Caenorhabditis elegans: one gene and its partners. The protein of the gene in region 2 interacts with the protein of the main gene of each other region in a pairwise test. Each region holds a gene or a part of one and is shown on either strand. Other genes may lie near its edges.

What was found. The genes of interacting proteins can lie anywhere in the genome.
Region 1: the proteins of npp-7 (region 2) and ima-3 interact in a two-hybrid assay, tested with the Caenorhabditis elegans proteins (one large-scale study listed by BioGRID).
Region 3: the proteins of npp-7 (region 2) and C17E4.2 interact in a two-hybrid assay, tested with the Caenorhabditis elegans proteins (one large-scale study listed by BioGRID).

Annotation. Positions count from the first base shown.
Region 1 is NC_003282.8:7,558,224-7,563,627, reverse strand, and holds ima-3 (Importin subunit alpha-3), read left to right. Parts: upstream 1-1,963; 5' UTR 1,964-1,967; coding exon 1,968-2,042; intron 2,043-2,087; coding exon 2,088-2,158; intron 2,159-2,271; coding exon 2,272-2,487; intron 2,488-2,532; coding exon 2,533-3,127; intron 3,128-3,170; coding exon 3,171-3,649; intron 3,650-3,728; coding exon 3,729-3,837; 3' UTR 3,838-4,887; downstream 4,888-5,404. Other genes in the region: F32E10.9 (TPR_REGION domain-containing protein), read left to right, coding at 491-615, 665-830, 918-1,115; nprl-2 (Nitrogen permease regulator 2), read right to left, coding at 4,932-5,055, 5,100-5,404. UniProt on the Caenorhabditis elegans protein: Binds specifically and directly to substrates containing either a simple or bipartite NLS motif. Promotes docking of import substrates to the nuclear envelope. Seems to act as a cytosolic receptor for both simple and bipartite NLS motifs.
Region 2 is NC_003279.8:5,690,433-5,698,024, forward strand, and holds npp-7 (RanBP2-type domain-containing protein), read left to right. Parts: upstream 1-1,831; 5' UTR 1,832-1,833; coding exon 1,834-2,029; intron 2,030-2,103; coding exon 2,104-2,264; intron 2,265-2,357; coding exon 2,358-2,963; intron 2,964-3,171; coding exon 3,172-3,864; intron 3,865-4,141; coding exon 4,142-5,853; intron 5,854-5,901; coding exon 5,902-6,123; intron 6,124-6,192; coding exon 6,193-6,256; 3' UTR 6,257-7,074; downstream 7,075-7,592. Other genes in the region: Netrin receptor unc-40, read right to left, coding at 706-789, 990-1,008.
Region 3 is NC_003279.8:9,410,589-9,413,739, reverse strand, and holds C17E4.2 (Cilia- and flagella-associated protein 157), read right to left. Parts: upstream 1,435-3,151; 5' UTR 1,427-1,434; coding exon 842-1,426; intron 795-841; coding exon 702-794; 3' UTR 518-701; downstream 1-517. Other genes in the region: C17E4.19 (uncharacterized protein), read right to left, coding at 2,375-2,488, 2,674-3,126.

The DNA of each region.
Region 1 (5,404 bases), on a different chromosome or scaffold from region 2:
TTTTGATAGTAGTTGTCAATTGGCTCCGCCCACTGCATCATTTTTTGGTAAATCCTGTTTTGAACTGCATTCTGTTTTGGTGGGGCCTCGAGACCACAGCTTTACATGGAGGCTTAGCCCATGCACCAAGTGAAGAGCTAGTCATCAATGCATCTAGACTGGAAGGATCCATCGCTTCCCGAGTAAAGTTGCTTGTGATCAAAGGTGTCAGTGTCCCCTAAAAATTACAAAAACGGGACAACGGGAATTCCCGTTCCCGTGAAAATTTTTAAAACGGGACAACGGGAATTCCCGTTTCCGCGAAAACACCCAAAAAACGGGACAACGGGACATCCCGTTCCCGTGAAAATGACAAAAACGGGACAGCGGGAATTCCCGTTCCCGTGAAAATTTTAAAAACGGGACAACGGGAATTCCCGTTCCCGTGAAAACACCCCAAAAACGGGACAACGGGACAAACGGAACACGGGAATTGACATCCTTGCTTGTGATGGGATTGGAATCGGACAAAATCAAATGCAAGGTCGCAATCATGGCTGAAATTAAGAGTAGAGGGAATCTGAAAAGCTCCCGAAAAATTTTTGAATCAGCTGCAGCAAAATTTCCGAACTGCCAGTAAGACAACATTTTTTAATCAATTTTTTTGAAACTGACTTACTTTCAGAGCTATAATAACCGGACGAGTCATTGTAGAAGAGAACGCAAATCGCGGTGCTGAGGCTGAAAAGCTTACCCGTGATTTTATCACCAAAAATACTGACGTCAGCGGAGATGAGTTGATAAAATTTATCAACTACATGGAGACCTACGATTCCAAGTTTGGTTTAAAGGTAAGCCTGTAAAACACTGAAAAATGTTAAACGAATTATATTATAACTATATTCTTCGCAATAGTGATTCAAATTGAACCATTTCAGGCTGCAATTCAAGTTGCAAAGGACAATCTTCCATGGGCCGGCGAAGAGAACATAGACCAATGGGTCAACTGGGTCAACCTACTGATTAGTCTGAAAAGTTTCAAAAGTTCCAAACTTTTCTGTGAACACGGCATGCCAGCAGCGTTGGGGAGTGTATCTTTTCTTAAGTTTTTCAATAGATCTTTGCGAAAACTGTAACAGGATCGACACTGACCGAAGCAGATCAGGTGTTCTCCTGGATCCAGGAACACAACAAGAAATTGCGGGAAAAGACGGCTAATGTAAGTTTTTCGGACTAGAAAATACTCCTGGTTTTTTGTTCAAAAGTATTATATCAAATGCATTTGATGCAAATGCAAATGCAAATGTAACCATAAATATCATTATTTTTCAGGTGGTGCAGGATGAGAGCGGCGACGAGTAGGATGCAATCACAAAATTTATTGCTTTATAATTTTTATAAAATCCGCTGTTATTAATATTGTAAAGAATGTTGAGTAAATAAATTTATTATTTAAAATTTTTTGTTAAAAGAGCTTGGTACCCAAATGTATTTAAAATTGCCATATTTTGAAACCATTTGAAGCGAAGTTTGACATTTTAATCAGACATTGTTTTTTGTTCTTAATATCTTTAACATTTACACGTTTTCCTTTTTTTAAAGAAGATCCATCCAAAAACTCCGGAGCTTCTTTTCCCTAGTTTTAAAATCTACGAGTGAGACCTCTTATCTGCCAATACGCTCTATTGTGTGCGTTGCGTGTCAACCGCGACGCTTCTGCGACATATTTTGTCTCGTTATCGACTATAATTTTTCCCCAATCCTACTGAAATCTTTCCATCTTACATGTAATTCATTGGATTTTATTTAAAAATTTCTGTTAAAGTTTCTCAATATCGCTCTTTTCTTATTTTAAATAATTAAGCTGTAATCTTAGATACTTTTTGTGTTGCGAAATCTCTGATAGAAAGTTCCGCAGTTTTTAAACGTTTTTTGTTGCTTTTTACTTGCGCTACTATTCATTTATCAAGTTTTTTTCTTTCAGCAGAATGAGTTCAAACAGACAGGCTTATTATAAGAACAATGCCAAAGAGCAAATTGGCAAGGAAAAAAGGAACGAAGAAGTAAGTTCGATAAACTTGTTAACGCATACATTATTCAATTTTAAGGTGGTTTCGATCAGAAAGGATAAACGAGAGGAGGCAATTTCCAAACGGCGTAATATCAATACCCAAATTGAGTGAGTTTTTCATCTGATTTTATATGCTTCAGCTATGAGAGCTAACAAAAGTGTTTCATACGCTTATCACAGTAAATTATCTGTTCCAGTTTTTGAATTGTTTTAATTTTCAGAGATGATTCTGAGACTTCAACAACCCCACCAGGTCCATTTGATGCCAACCTCCTCCGGTTGACAGTCGCTGCTGCCCAATCGAGCGATCCCGCTGAGCAGCTGACTGCTGTTCAACAAGCCCGTAAAATGCTATCAACTGATAGAAATCCACCAATTGATGACTTGATTGGCAGTGGGATTTTGCCTGTCCTCGTTCAATGCTTGTCCAGCACGGAGTAAGAATTTTCATAAGGTCGCATCAAATTACTGTAAATTTTCAGTCCAAACTTGCAATTTGAAGCTGCATGGGCCCTTACCAACATAGCATCTGGTACATCAGAGCAAACACAAGCCGTCGTGAATGCCGGAGCCGTTCCTCTCTTCCTGCAACTCCTGTCATGTGGAAATCTGAACGTTTGCGAGCAATCTGTCTGGGCTCTTGGTAACATCATTGGAGATGGACCACATTTCCGTGATTATTGTCTCGAACTCGGAATTCTCCAGCCACTATTGCAGTTCATTAACCCGGAGATACCTATTGGCTTCTTGAGAAATGTCACATGGGTTATTGTCAATCTCTGCAGGTGCAAAGATCCGGCACCAAGCCCAGCTGTGGTTCGTACGATTCTTCCCGCCCTCTCACTTTTGATCCATCACCAAGACACCAACATCCTCATAGACACCGTTTGGGCCCTTTCTTACCTCACCGACGGTGGAAATGAACACATTCAAATGGTTATCGAAGCTCAAGTTGTTACCCATCTCGTTCCACTCCTTGGACACGTTGATGTTAAAGTTCAAACAGCAGCACTTCGAGCTGTAGGAAATATTGTGACTGGAACCGACGAACAAACACAACTTGTGTTGGATAGCGGAGTAAAAATTTTCATTTATGACTTTTCCAAATCTTAAATTTCAGGTTCTTCGGTTTATGCCAGGACTTCTCGCCCACTACAAAGAGAAAATAAACAAAGAGGCTGTTTGGTTTGTCTCCAACATAACTGCTGGAAACCAACAACAAGTTCAAGACGTATTCGACGCCGGAATCATGCCAATGATTATTCATCTTCTTGATCGAGGAGATTTCCCAACTCAAAAAGAGGCAGCGTGGGCTATTTCCAACGTTACAATCTCTGGCCGTCCAAATCAAGTTGAGCAAATGGTAAAGCTTGGTGTCCTTCGTCCTTTCTGTGCGATGCTCAGTTGCACTGATTCGCAGATTATCCAAGTAGTGCTTGATGGAATTAACAACATTCTGAAAATGGCTGGAGAAGCTGCCGAACAGGTGACATCAGAGATTGAAGAGTGCGGAGGTCTTGACAAGATAGAAAATCTTCAAAATCATGAAAACGAGGACATTTACAAACTGGCTTTCGAAATTATCGATAACTTCTTCAGGTAGGAGTCCAATTATATTTGATAAAAATCTTCAGAGTCCGTGTGCGAATGTTTGGTGTATACGTTTTTATATTTTCAGTTCCGATGATGAGACTGGCAACGTGGAAGGAGCTCAAAGTTCTGCTTTTGGAGGCGACGTTCCACCAGTTCCTGATGCTCCAAACGGAGGATGGAACTTTGGAAAGTAGATCTCCATGATTCCTTTAATCACAAAATACGTTTTGTCTTATTTCTCGTAAACAATTTCGCATGCCGTTCCCATACAAATGTTCATGTAGTTTTCGTCTTACTATTTTTCACACCTCACTTTTTGTTAGGTTCTCGTGTATTTTCATCTGACACGCGAGTTCCTAAGCCAGCTTCTCGGAAATGCAAGCTCTCTTTCATGTGAGATTTTGCACTTTTTGACCAATTGAGTTTGCACGTTCTTCTACAATCGATTGTCAATTATCTCATCCTTTCTTTATCTCTTCGTTGTTTCTGTACCATCAGTGATTTGATTAACATTTCACTTTTTCATCCACCATCTTTTTTCCATTGTGATTAATTAGTTACAATGTCCCCGCCCTCTTCTTCGTGTGTGCGAGAGTGACTGTTTTATGATAATATATTTCGATTTCTTTTTAAAGTGAGTGTGTGAGTTGTGCATTTTTGTTGAGTTTTGTTTTCATTTTTGTTTCCCATTCGCGCCCGTTCATTGCCCGCGTCCCCCACCCTCATCCTTTTATCATTGTTACCGCGTCGTTTTCAAATCTCTCATCATTTTTCCCAGTCCCTCCAATCCCCACGGTCCCCAGATTTTCTCTCTAAAAGCGAGTATTTTCATTTTCTTCACATGTTACTTTTATTAATTCTTTATCATATACATAATTTCAATTTCTTAGAACTTCTGATCCCCCTAGTTTGCTCATTTCCTAGTCATCCATCATCATTCTCGATTTCATTAGTTCTCGGAGAATCTCGTTGATAGGCCAAAAATTCCAATCACCCTGCTCCTCTTAGTTCTCGTGGACTCCAGTATTCTTTTTCTTGAAACCCCACCCATCCCGTAAGGCCTTTTTAAAGGTATATCGAGCCGTCCCTCTTCTCATCATCCATCTTCTTTTCTCATTTTCCCTCTCATCTTCCTCATCCCATTTTCCTTTCTCCCGTTTTGCTATTCTCGATTGTCTCGACTGACTGGCCAATATTCCCTTTACCTGGTGTGTGCTCTCATAATAAATAAATCAAATTTATTTGTTAAAAGTTGTTGTAAAACGAAACAATAATACACGATTTTCATTTATTTCATGACAAACTCAAATTTTCCGGTTTCTTCCAACAGTGAGCAAAGTTGTTCGGGGTCCACATTATGTTGAAGAGAAAGTTCGTCAATTGAAGTTTTTCCATTACACCGTTTCAGGAGACTTAAAATTGTATATTATTAGATAGTATTAATTGATTAACTTACGTGTTGTTGCCTGGGTTTGCAACACAAATAGGATATTTAGAAAGTTTACGAAGAAACTGATGATGCATTCCAAATTGTACAAGTCGCTGTTCATCAATACCCATCGATCTTGGTTTCTCCAGATCGGCCCATTCTGCTAGATTGTTGCCGCACTGAAAACGTAGTCGATTGCTATCAGATTCGTCGATCGGAAGTTTAGGTCCCACCACTTTCATGCTCAAATAAAGTCGGAACACATCCGAAAATTCTGGAGTTCGCGTTGGAATTTCTGAGCCGTCTGCACCGATTTCCGTTTGAATTTTCAC
Region 2 (7,592 bases):
TGAAATGAACGAATCTGGTGGATTTTGTGTAGAGATTACAATCTTTCGAACATCAAACGCCTAGAGAATCTGGGGAATTGAGCTATCCACTTTTGGTTTGTAGTGAAAAATGCTACAATTTGGCGTCAAGTTTTCTTTAAAGGTGGTACCCACCGTGGGGTAGTGAAATAAGGCCCCGAGTGACGGAATGAGGCTTCTCAAAAGCGGAGTCAAAATTAACTAAAATTTTAATTTTTCCCTAAACCGCCATAATTTAGAAAACGTTCAAGATGTCTCTCTTCTGGGGACAAAAAAATCGCTGCTCCATCTTTAAGGTGTGAAGGAACTAAAAGATTGCTGAACAACTCTGCTAGATCGGAACTCGAAAATTGAGAATAATTTTGAAAGAAGGTTTTTTCAAAGTAAAACCATTAATTCGACGATAAACTAAGTGTTTTATAGGTAAGAGTATTAAAAAAAACGTAACTTTTCTTGGATTTGTATTATTTTTATGGAGTCAATTTTTTTTAAAAATAGCCACAAGGTAGTTCAGTGCCAAGTATTGACTTTAAGATGATTTTTATTTATATTTTTCTATTTTCAAAATTCCATTCTTGAATCGATAAATTATGTTGCCGGTGACTGACACCTTGACAGAATGCCAGATGGTCATCTTCCTTCCCCCATTTTAATATATTTTTGAATTCAAATGTGAAAAACTCTCACCATTATCAATCGATCGACGATGATGTTTCCGTGTTGTGGCATGAGTAGATGACAGATAAACTGTCAGAATTATAAGAATGAAACCTGAAAATTATAAATAGTAATGAAGTTTTATTTAATTTCCTTTTGTTTTCTTTCAGAGGTTCGGGTTTAGATACTTCGTTTACTACGAAATTATAGGATTTTAATTTTATTTGTATCAACACAAAAGTGATAACAACAATATTTAAAACTTTTCCACGGAGAAATTATTAAAATTGATAAGATAAAAAGATGGAACTCACCGAAATGTCGCAAAATCATTTCTACTGAATGAATTAAATAACTTCTGTCGAATTATCGCATTCTATTGGTGATGCAGAGGGTCTGAAATAAATAATGTTTTTATTTACCTTTGGATTTTTTGAACACATTTTTTGAACACAGAAAAAAAGATGGAAAAGAGGTCGTTAAAAATAATTTTGAATAGAAAATAAATATATTTAACGGAAAAAGAGTCAAAAACAGGGTCGAACGTCGTCAAAAGAGCTCCAGAAGTGTCCAGCTGAAGGGGTGTGGCCTTGTGGAATGGACACTCTCTCGTTTCTCTGCACCCTCTTCATGTTGTTAATGGAAGGATAACTGTCTGCACTCTAACCTCTCAAATGTCGTTGAAAGCGTCGCGTATGCGTCGCGTGTGCGCACTCGAAAATTTCTTTTTAATCGTCTTCGCGCCATTTGCGATTTTAAATTCCTTTATTGATTTTTAATGTAATTTACACTTCTTTCCTTCGAAAATTCAATGTTGGTAAAAGGTTTTTTGCCTTAAAAATATATCAAGTTTAATGCTTAATGCTGCGTTTACTGGCGCGGCCTAAATTTAAACATTTACGATTTTGAATGATTTCTGTAGTTTTGACCTGTGTTATCGATCAATAATTCGGAATTTTTACCAAAACATATTAGGTGCATTTGTCATGTTCTTTTGGTACTTCCAGTAGTTCATTTAGGCGTTTCAAAAGTATTTCGAAAAGTGTCGTTTTTGAAGAATTTTATTTTATCGAGAATTTCTGACACGGCGCAGAAAAATTTCTTCAGTCTCTCTCAGCTTTAGTCTCAATTACGAAACAACTTTTTTCTATTTCAGAAATGTCCGATAAATCCGGAGGGTTTTTCTCATCGGTTGGCCGCTTCTTTTCTGTTGGAGCTAGTGCCACTAAAAGCAAAGACGGCGATAAGTCGAATGATGAAGGTACATCCAATTCGTCTTCAAAATCGTCTCCTTCTGCGTCTCCAGCATTGAAAAATATATTATCCGTAGATAATGAAGCTAAAATAGCTTCAGGTAAGTTTAATCACATTGACTTTCATATCAGTACATGGCACTAGAATTTCAACTCATTATTTTTTAAATTCCAGATGAAACTTCAGTGAATACCTCACAAAACCATCGCATCGGATCACGTCTTCGATACCTCAGTCCGACTGCATTGGATCGGCGTACGAGTGCATCCAATGGCTTAGAGATCGATGTGGACGCTGTTCCAGATATTTTCTTCAGCACTCCTGCGGTTTCCACGGTAAATTTTTAAAGTTGTCTTTTTATTAATGTGTTTTCACAGAAAAATTAGATTAAACCTGTTGATAAATGCTATCGAAATATTTTTTTCCAGAATCGCAAACGTCAACTGACAGAGCTCGACAAGCAGATTCTACCACAATCGTTTCGAAGTGAGAGTGTGAAACGAAGTCGATTCCTGAACAGATCATTACTGGAACCAACTCTTAATAGTTCAATGAATAATGAGAGGAAAATGGATATGACTTGGTGTGGAGAGTTAACTGCTAATCATTCTCCTGCTTCATCTATCACAAATTTCTCACTTTTGAGCCGACGAAGTGGAGCAACTACCAACGGGTCATTAAGTACAAGAACTCAAGAAATTTTCAAAAAGCTTGAAGGTGCAAATACACCCGCGAAAGAAGTTCAGAGAATGTCAATGCTTCGAGCTGGCATTGCTCGACCAGAAAAATGGGGATCGTTTAGCGAGAGCAAGGTTCCAAATGGTTCAGCAACTGGCACACCACCACCTCCATTGAAAAAAGCTGGAGACGCAATTCCATCTCGTATACAGCTCATATCAAAGACTATGGGAATGTCCGCTCGACGTGCTCCTTATTGGACGGATTTAACTAGGAAAAGAACATCGTCGAAAAATGGAGACACTGGATCTTCTGATTCAATGAAATCATTGAACGGAAACTTTGCGACTGCAGAGGTAACCTGGATTTTAAACACTTGAAAAAAAATGATACAAGAATTATGAAAAAGTTTTTCTGGTCAAATTTTCTAAAATTAGACACGAGATTATCACAGTCTAGTATTTATTTTTAAACGTTTCATTGGGAAATTTTCAGAAATTATAACAAACTTAAAATTATGATAATTAAATTATTCGACTTTATCTTAACTTTTTTAAATTTCAGCTGAGCTCCTTGTTTTCACTGGACTTACCAGCTCCAAAGAAGACAGCATCAACTGCATCCACGACCACCATAAACTCGTCAAATAGTCGAAAACAACATGCCTCAATTATGAAGGGACCTGATGGGAAACCAGTTAGTAGAAATACGTTCAAACTCTCTGATGACATTGAAGAAGTTGATGAGGATTCACAGAAACTTCCACCAATTCCAACAACAACTCTGCAGAATCCACAACCTCTGAAATTGGCGCCAGAATATGCACCCAAGCGCGGGTTTTTGGACGATCTCGCGTTCTCATTCACAGCTCCAGTTGATTTAGTTACTGCTGTTGGAACTGCAAAAACCGCAAGTACGGCAAGCTCACATAAAGCATCCGAGTCCAGCAGTGAGAGCAATGCAGAATCGACAGAAAAGCAAACATCTGAAAGCAGTGGAAACGAATCAGATTCCGAAGAATCAGAAGACTCAGAAGTAGACGTCGGTGAGGAGAATGGTAGTGAAGTGAAAGAGTCGCGACCACAAACTTCCGCTGACACTATCTCATCTGCCGGAGGATCCAATCAGAGTTCAAAGGATTCGTCTCCAAAAGTTGCCAAAGATGCAGAACCAGTTGTGGTTGCTCCAGCTCCAGTGGTCGATGCTGGTTCTAAAAAATGGGAATGTCAATCGTGTTTCTGTAGTTGGGATTCTACGGTAAGAAATTTTGATGTTGATACGAGAAAACTCTAAACTGGGTCTACTATGTTTTACTTAAAATTAATAACAAAATTTAGTCTACAGTTTTCGTGGGTTTAGGAAAGCGTGCGCGAAATGTTCCATTTTTTCAACTAAAATAATTGAAGTCGTCACGAGTCTCGCTGAAAAGTACATCATGTGTCTTTAGAGCATAGTCTCACATTTTCAGAAAATTGTCAAGTATAAAAATTCATCGGAAAAGAAACTAAGAAATTGACAAATAATTTGTTTTCAGCTATCGGAATGTGGGGCATGTGGGGAAGCACGTCCAGGAGGATCTGGTACTGGTCCAAAAAGTCAACCAAAACCTTCCGAAAAGCAGCTTGTATCAAATCTCAGTAGTTTCGCATCGAATACACCAAGTACTGTCAAGTTCGGATTTGGATCAGGTGCTTCAACGACAACAACTATTGCATCGACAACTTCAAACACAATTCCATTCGGAAGCGGTTCTTCAGTGGCACCACTTTTTGGAGCCCCCAAGACAACTGCTCCACCACCAACAACTGTTCCTGCCACAATTCCAGTAGCCCCTACTACTATCGCATCTGCTCCTGTTGCTGCTGTAACTTCATCCTCCAATGGTACACGTGTTGATTGGGAGTGCCCTGATTGTATGGTTAGCAATAAGGCCAGTGATGATAAATGCCCATGTTGCTCACATGTCAAATATGCATCTGCTGAAGCATCTTCGAATGTTTTTGGTAATCGGGCCTTCAAACCACTTTCTTCCACAGGGTCTACTATTTCATTCGGAGTTGGTGGAAGTACAGCAACCACCCAACCAAGCGCATTTGCATTTGGACTGTCAAAGACAACAGAAGTTGCGCCAACTTCTACTCCAGCCTTTGGGCTTTCGGCGAAACCAGCTGTTTCATCAGCCCCAGTCGAGAAACCATCTGCACCAGAAGTTCCCAAAACAGCTGGATCTCTTTTCGGAAATATCGCCAAACCTGCCGATTCAGCTACCACAAGTTTCTTGGCTCCAGGTGCTGCATCGTCTACAAGTTCTTTGGCGCCAACGGCGGGATCATCATTGTTTGGTGGTTCAACTGGATCTATCTTCAATTTAAACAAAACCAACACGACAGAGACTGCGAAGCCAGGCCTATTCGGATCGATCTTAGATAAGGAAACACATGTCACAACAACTCCTGTCTCTGTTGCTCTTCCATCATCTACAGATTCGACTCAATCAAAATCCGCTATTCCAACAATTGCTCCAACCATGTCATTGTTTGGAAACTCATCTACTGGATCATTCGGTGGATCATCAATGTTCGGCAATTCCAAAACGGAACTTCCAAAGATTTCTTCTACGCTTTCGTTCGGAAATCCAACGACTGCTGCAGCACCAGTGTCCACAGCTACCGCAGAAGCTGTAAAAACTAATGTCTTCGGAAGCAACTCGGCATCAGCATCAACCAGCCTTTTCGGTGCAGGATCCTCGTCCACAGCAACTAATCTGTTTACAACAAAGCCTGCTGATTCGACAACTTCTTCGATTTTCGGAAAGCCGATTTCATTTGGAGACGATTCAGGAACAACCACTACTGACGGGGCACCAGCAAAGCGTGGATTGTTCTCATCCGACTCACAGAAGCTTCAGTTCGGCGGCCAGCAAAAAGTTGAGATGCCAAAGTTTACTGGTTTTGGAAACCCTGCCTCTACTGCCTCAACCACAAGTGGATCACTCTTTGGCGGTGCTTCTACAAATCCACCAATGTTCGGAGGGCCTTCATCCTCAAGCATTCCCGCATTTTCGACATCAAACTCTTCAAGCACTTCAGGTTTTCCTAGCTCTACAGCGACCCCATTCGGAAACGCCGGGACAACATCAACCTCTGGAGTGTTTGGTGCATTTGGAAACAAGCCATCACAACCAGGATTGTCTTCTAGCTCATCTACGAACTCGTTGTTCGGTCAAGCACCTGCTGATTCCTCTAAGTAAGCTTCAACATTTTTTGGTTACTAGAAAACAATTATTATTTTCAGCCCGTTCGGTGGCACGTCCAATAATGGCTTCAACTTTGGTGCATCTAGCAGCACAACCGGCGCCACTGCAGGAGGCGGAGGAGTTTTCCAGTTTGGAAATGCTGCCACCTCAGCTCCAGCTCCGACTGCTGCTCCAGGAGGTGGAGCGTTCCAGTTTGGTGGTAACATGTCAGTTCCACAAGCTCCAGCACCTGGTGGAATGGAAAACGCCTTTTCTTATCAGTAAGTTTCTCTTCCAACTTTAACCAATTAATTCAAAAGTACATAAGTATTAATTGTTATTATTTGCAGAGCTCCGAGTGGTGTCGGCGCCCGAAAAATGGCAATGGCTCGACGCCGTAACATGAGAAAGTAATGGAAAAGTTGTTAATCGACATTCGTCATTTAATCTAGATTATTAGAAATATATTTTGTTGCAATCATACCATTTTTGTTGTTCCCTCTTTCCTTATTGCCCTTAATTAATTGTATGTTTGTTGTGAAGTAGAGAAGAGGAACTGTACAAAACATATCCGTTTTCCCATTTTAAATTTCGCCTCATGTTTATCAAAATTTATTTTCTTTTCCTCGAAACGTTTTTTGGAGTGTCCCCTTCTCTCCACAACAGTCCTCTACATAAAACCCTAGTTATCTTTCTATCCTCATTCCCTTTTTCCCCGGTAGTATTTGTCCCCCGTTCTATATTTAAAAATTATCTACATCTATTAACCCCTCCTCCCATATATACCCATATGTCTCCTATCAAATGATTCTTCCCATTCAAAAGTCTTTAAAAACTGTTATATTCAAAATATAATTCAAATTATTCAAAATTACCATCGGGTTAATACACTTTTCGCTGTGACTGATTTCAAAAATGTTTAGATTACCCGTTATTTTGTTTTCTTTTTTAGACAGCCCCCCCACACATTTCCATTTAATTTTGCTCAAATTCCGAAACACAACTTTCAAGTTTTCAACACCGAGCCTTTTGAGTTCTAGCTAGAGCTACTTCCCCTTTGTTTTCATTTGAATGTTTTCTTTCCGATTTTTTTTTTCAAGAATTAATTTTTAATGGGAAATCTAATTATATCTATTGTTGTTGTGACCACTCCCACCATTTAAAACCCACCACTTGTCTCGTTATGGTATTTCCTAGGTTGGAATCAATAAAGGTGTGAAAATAAAACAAAATTTGAAATGATTGGCTGCACGTCCTGTGTCTCTAGATTAGTACAGAACCTCCTCCCACCTCAATTCAAAAGTAAACAATAAAATTACTTACTTTTTCCACCAACTCTTGGTAAATATGAGTAGGTTATCGATTTTAAGTAGGTAGATAGATAGCTAAATATAAAAAAAAGACGATGACTATTACTAACGATGTTGTAGGAAACAAAAAAGAGATGAAATGAGACCTTGGTCGATTTTCATTTATTCTTCAATTTATCTCCCTCTTTACCGGGGGTCTCTAATTCTTCTTATCTCCGAATGGCTTAATCATATTTGTCGGTAGAGGAATTTATCAGTATGATGACTCGAAGTTATGTTCCCCCAATTGAGGCACTGATGTTCAAAAACACAAGCTCAAAATTGTATCACAATAGTAACAAATACGTGCTACCATAACATTTTCTATCTAGGCGAGACCCATTCGAATAAATTAGTGCGTTTTTGAGTACGAGATGTACATCAGGAAATTGCTTAATTTT
Region 3 (3,151 bases), 3.7 Mb from region 2:
GAATTTTTCAGGAATAAGAATACAGTCGTATAGGATGTTGGTTTCCTTAATGAAAAAATTAATTCAAATTAATTTTTTATGTATTTACGCTCTCCAGGAGAGACAAAAGGAGAAAAGAAGAGAAGAATTAACGCTTTTCAGTAGAAATTTAGCCTCTTTACACTTGTTTTAGATTTTTGAAAAAAAATTCAGTCAAAGTTTTGGTTAATCATTTTCCAAAAAACATTTTTGGCAGGCTGCCAGTGTATGATAGATAAAAATTAAGGCGATGTTCTTTACTGCTATACGTAGCAGTTGAAATATATAGTTAGCACCGATTGGGGGACAATGTGAATGACCTCTTAGAATTGTTCCCACTGCAATACGTTTTATTGACTCTGTCGATCGAGTAGTGGGCCTATTGGTTATCTAGGTGCTCTTAAAAAACACCTGCAACAATAGGCAGATCAAAGTCGTTAGATATCGAAATGCACATGACGTTCTGCTTGTTTCGACATTTTCAGATACACAATAAAATACGGTTTAATTCATTTATTTATCTGGAAAGGGATTTCTAGAAAATTGAATTATTACAATGATGAGATGACATGAATGATCGATGGAGTTACAGGGAGATGGAAGAACTAGAAAACTACAAAAGGAAGTTGGTCTGACAGTCGATGAAGGGCGATGAGCAAGCTGTTGTGAACGTTCTTCAGAAATCACTTTTTCAGAACACTAGTTTCCTCTTCCTGAACTTGTCGTTGATCTCGAGCCATGAATCTGCCGATCATTTCATTCAACAATGCATTCGTCTGAAAGTTGACTTAATATTGAAAATGACAAGATCGCAAGAACTAACCTTCAGAAGATTTTCATTGTTTCTTGACAATCTTTGATATCCTTCACTAGTTGCTGTCATATGATCCAAAAGCTTTTGATTTTTAGATTCCAATCGTTTCATCGCCTGCTTTTGCTGTACACACTCTGTCATCAAATAATCTTTTTGAGATTCCATTGCTTTCATTTCTCGTGCACTTCGTCTAAGATCCCTCTTGCGGTTTTTCAATTCATCTTCAAGTCTTTCAATTTCCGAATGACATGCTTTTGTCTCTTCATTGTAGTCCAATTTATCCGAAACACTGTCTTCGATGATTTCCTTGAGCTCATCAATTTCTCTGGTAAATTTCAAAACCATTTGCTCCTTCTCGCTGTCCTTTTCATCAAAAAAAGCCAAAATCATCTTCTTTTCCTTGAACGATTCCTCGACCTGATTCTTCAAAAGCATGATCTCCAAAGTCAAGTCAAACTTTTCTTTTCCGAGCATTGACTCGAAAATGTTTCGTTGCTCCACGAGCTCATGCTTCAGAAATTCGTTTTCTGCTTTTAGTTGGGTCAGCTCCAAAGTGTTGGAGGAATTTTCGTAGACAGAGATTTTGGGATTCATCTGGAAACGAAACTTAATTTTGAAAAAAAACTATGTACGGTGAAGGACGAAATTCAAACAAAACAGGAGCAATTATCTTGGAGAATCGGGCCTTAGGCCTACCTTGGAGAAAAAACAGCTGTCCTTCTCAGACAATAATAAATATCTATAATTCCAGCGGGTTTCTAGGCGTTTCAACATTGTCTTACCGTACTCCCCTTTCCCAAAAGTCAGCTTTCTTTTGGGAAGTATTATCTTCCATTGTCTGCCTCCAGGTGCTAATTGTACTGTGTTATTTGTCTGAAATCGATGAGCTGACCTTGTATTGAGGAGCCATTTGAGCCAATTGGGCAATAGAAGGGCAATAGAAGAACCAATATCTTGTAAAAAAAAAGAGTATTGAGTGATAGTAAATTACTGGGATTAATACAATTTATAAAATGGAAAAACATCTGAAGGGGGAGTATCTCGAGCAAAATAAAAATTTAACTAATCAAAGGCATAAGTTATGTATTGTTTGTCCATAAATGACAATCAGTGACTTTTTTGGGGCTTCATGAACTTTTATATTTTGCTGGAAAATAAAAATTGAATCAGTTTTCAGTACGACATGGAACATCATCTTGAAAGAGACCTGTTGTGAAACAACGGGTAAGACCAAGTAGGCATTTTCGACAGTATGGAAGTCATACGATATTGTCCACAATCGAATACAATTGAAATAGGTAGATGTATATACTTTTTGATTAACTATGTGGTATCAAATTCAAGAGTTAGGTGAATTACATATAATATAAATATGAATAAATTTAAATAGTTGAATTTAAGACATGTCATAATGATATTCTCCTCGTGCCATCAGTTCTTATTTTAAACTATCATAAATTCTTTAATTTATACAGCTTCTGATAACAATTGAATAAAAAAATTGAATTTAGCAATTCAAAACGAATAACTTTGAATTCCATGCTACTGGTCTATCTCGATATACTCGAAGGTTTCAAACAGTTCATCCTCATTCTTCTCCATTTCACATAATTCAATCTTCTGATTTTTTATAGTTACGGATGCATTCGTTGTGATCTGAAATGAAACAATTGAATAGAGGAATTTGAAAATAAAAAATTTGCAACGAAGATGGAAGACGCCGTTGCTTACGATATCTCTTCCGTTCGACAAATTTCCAAAATTAGGCACTATAAAAGTTTCATGGCAAACTCCAGAATATCTATCGATAGAATTTCTATTTACAACAAAAACCAACTTACACTGTCAACCTCTTTCAATTTGATTTTATTTTTGCAAATGTCTGTCTTAACTTCTTGTAATTTATCCAAATTTTTCCCGATCTTTGCGATATTTTCATTGTTATATGTATCTTTTAAATTATTGTTTTCTTTGCGTAGAGCTTCATTTTCTTCTATAACCTTCTTGATTTCATTTCGATAAAATCTTGAAACTTTCATTTTTTCTTCAATACATTCATCACGATCTTTATGGATTACATCAAGAAGTCGTTGACTTTCCTCAGCTTCCGTTTCTTTTTCTTCCAACTGTGTCTTCAAAATTTCATTTTCAGTTTGAATTTTCTCAAAGTTGATTTGAAGATTCCGAATATATTGTTCAAGTTGTTCAATTTCACTTCTTAGCTCCTCAATGTGAAACATCTCTTCCTTAATATGATCCACGAGATTTTCGCAAGATTTACACTCGGAAGCCATGTCTGAAAAATGTTAAAGATTCTGT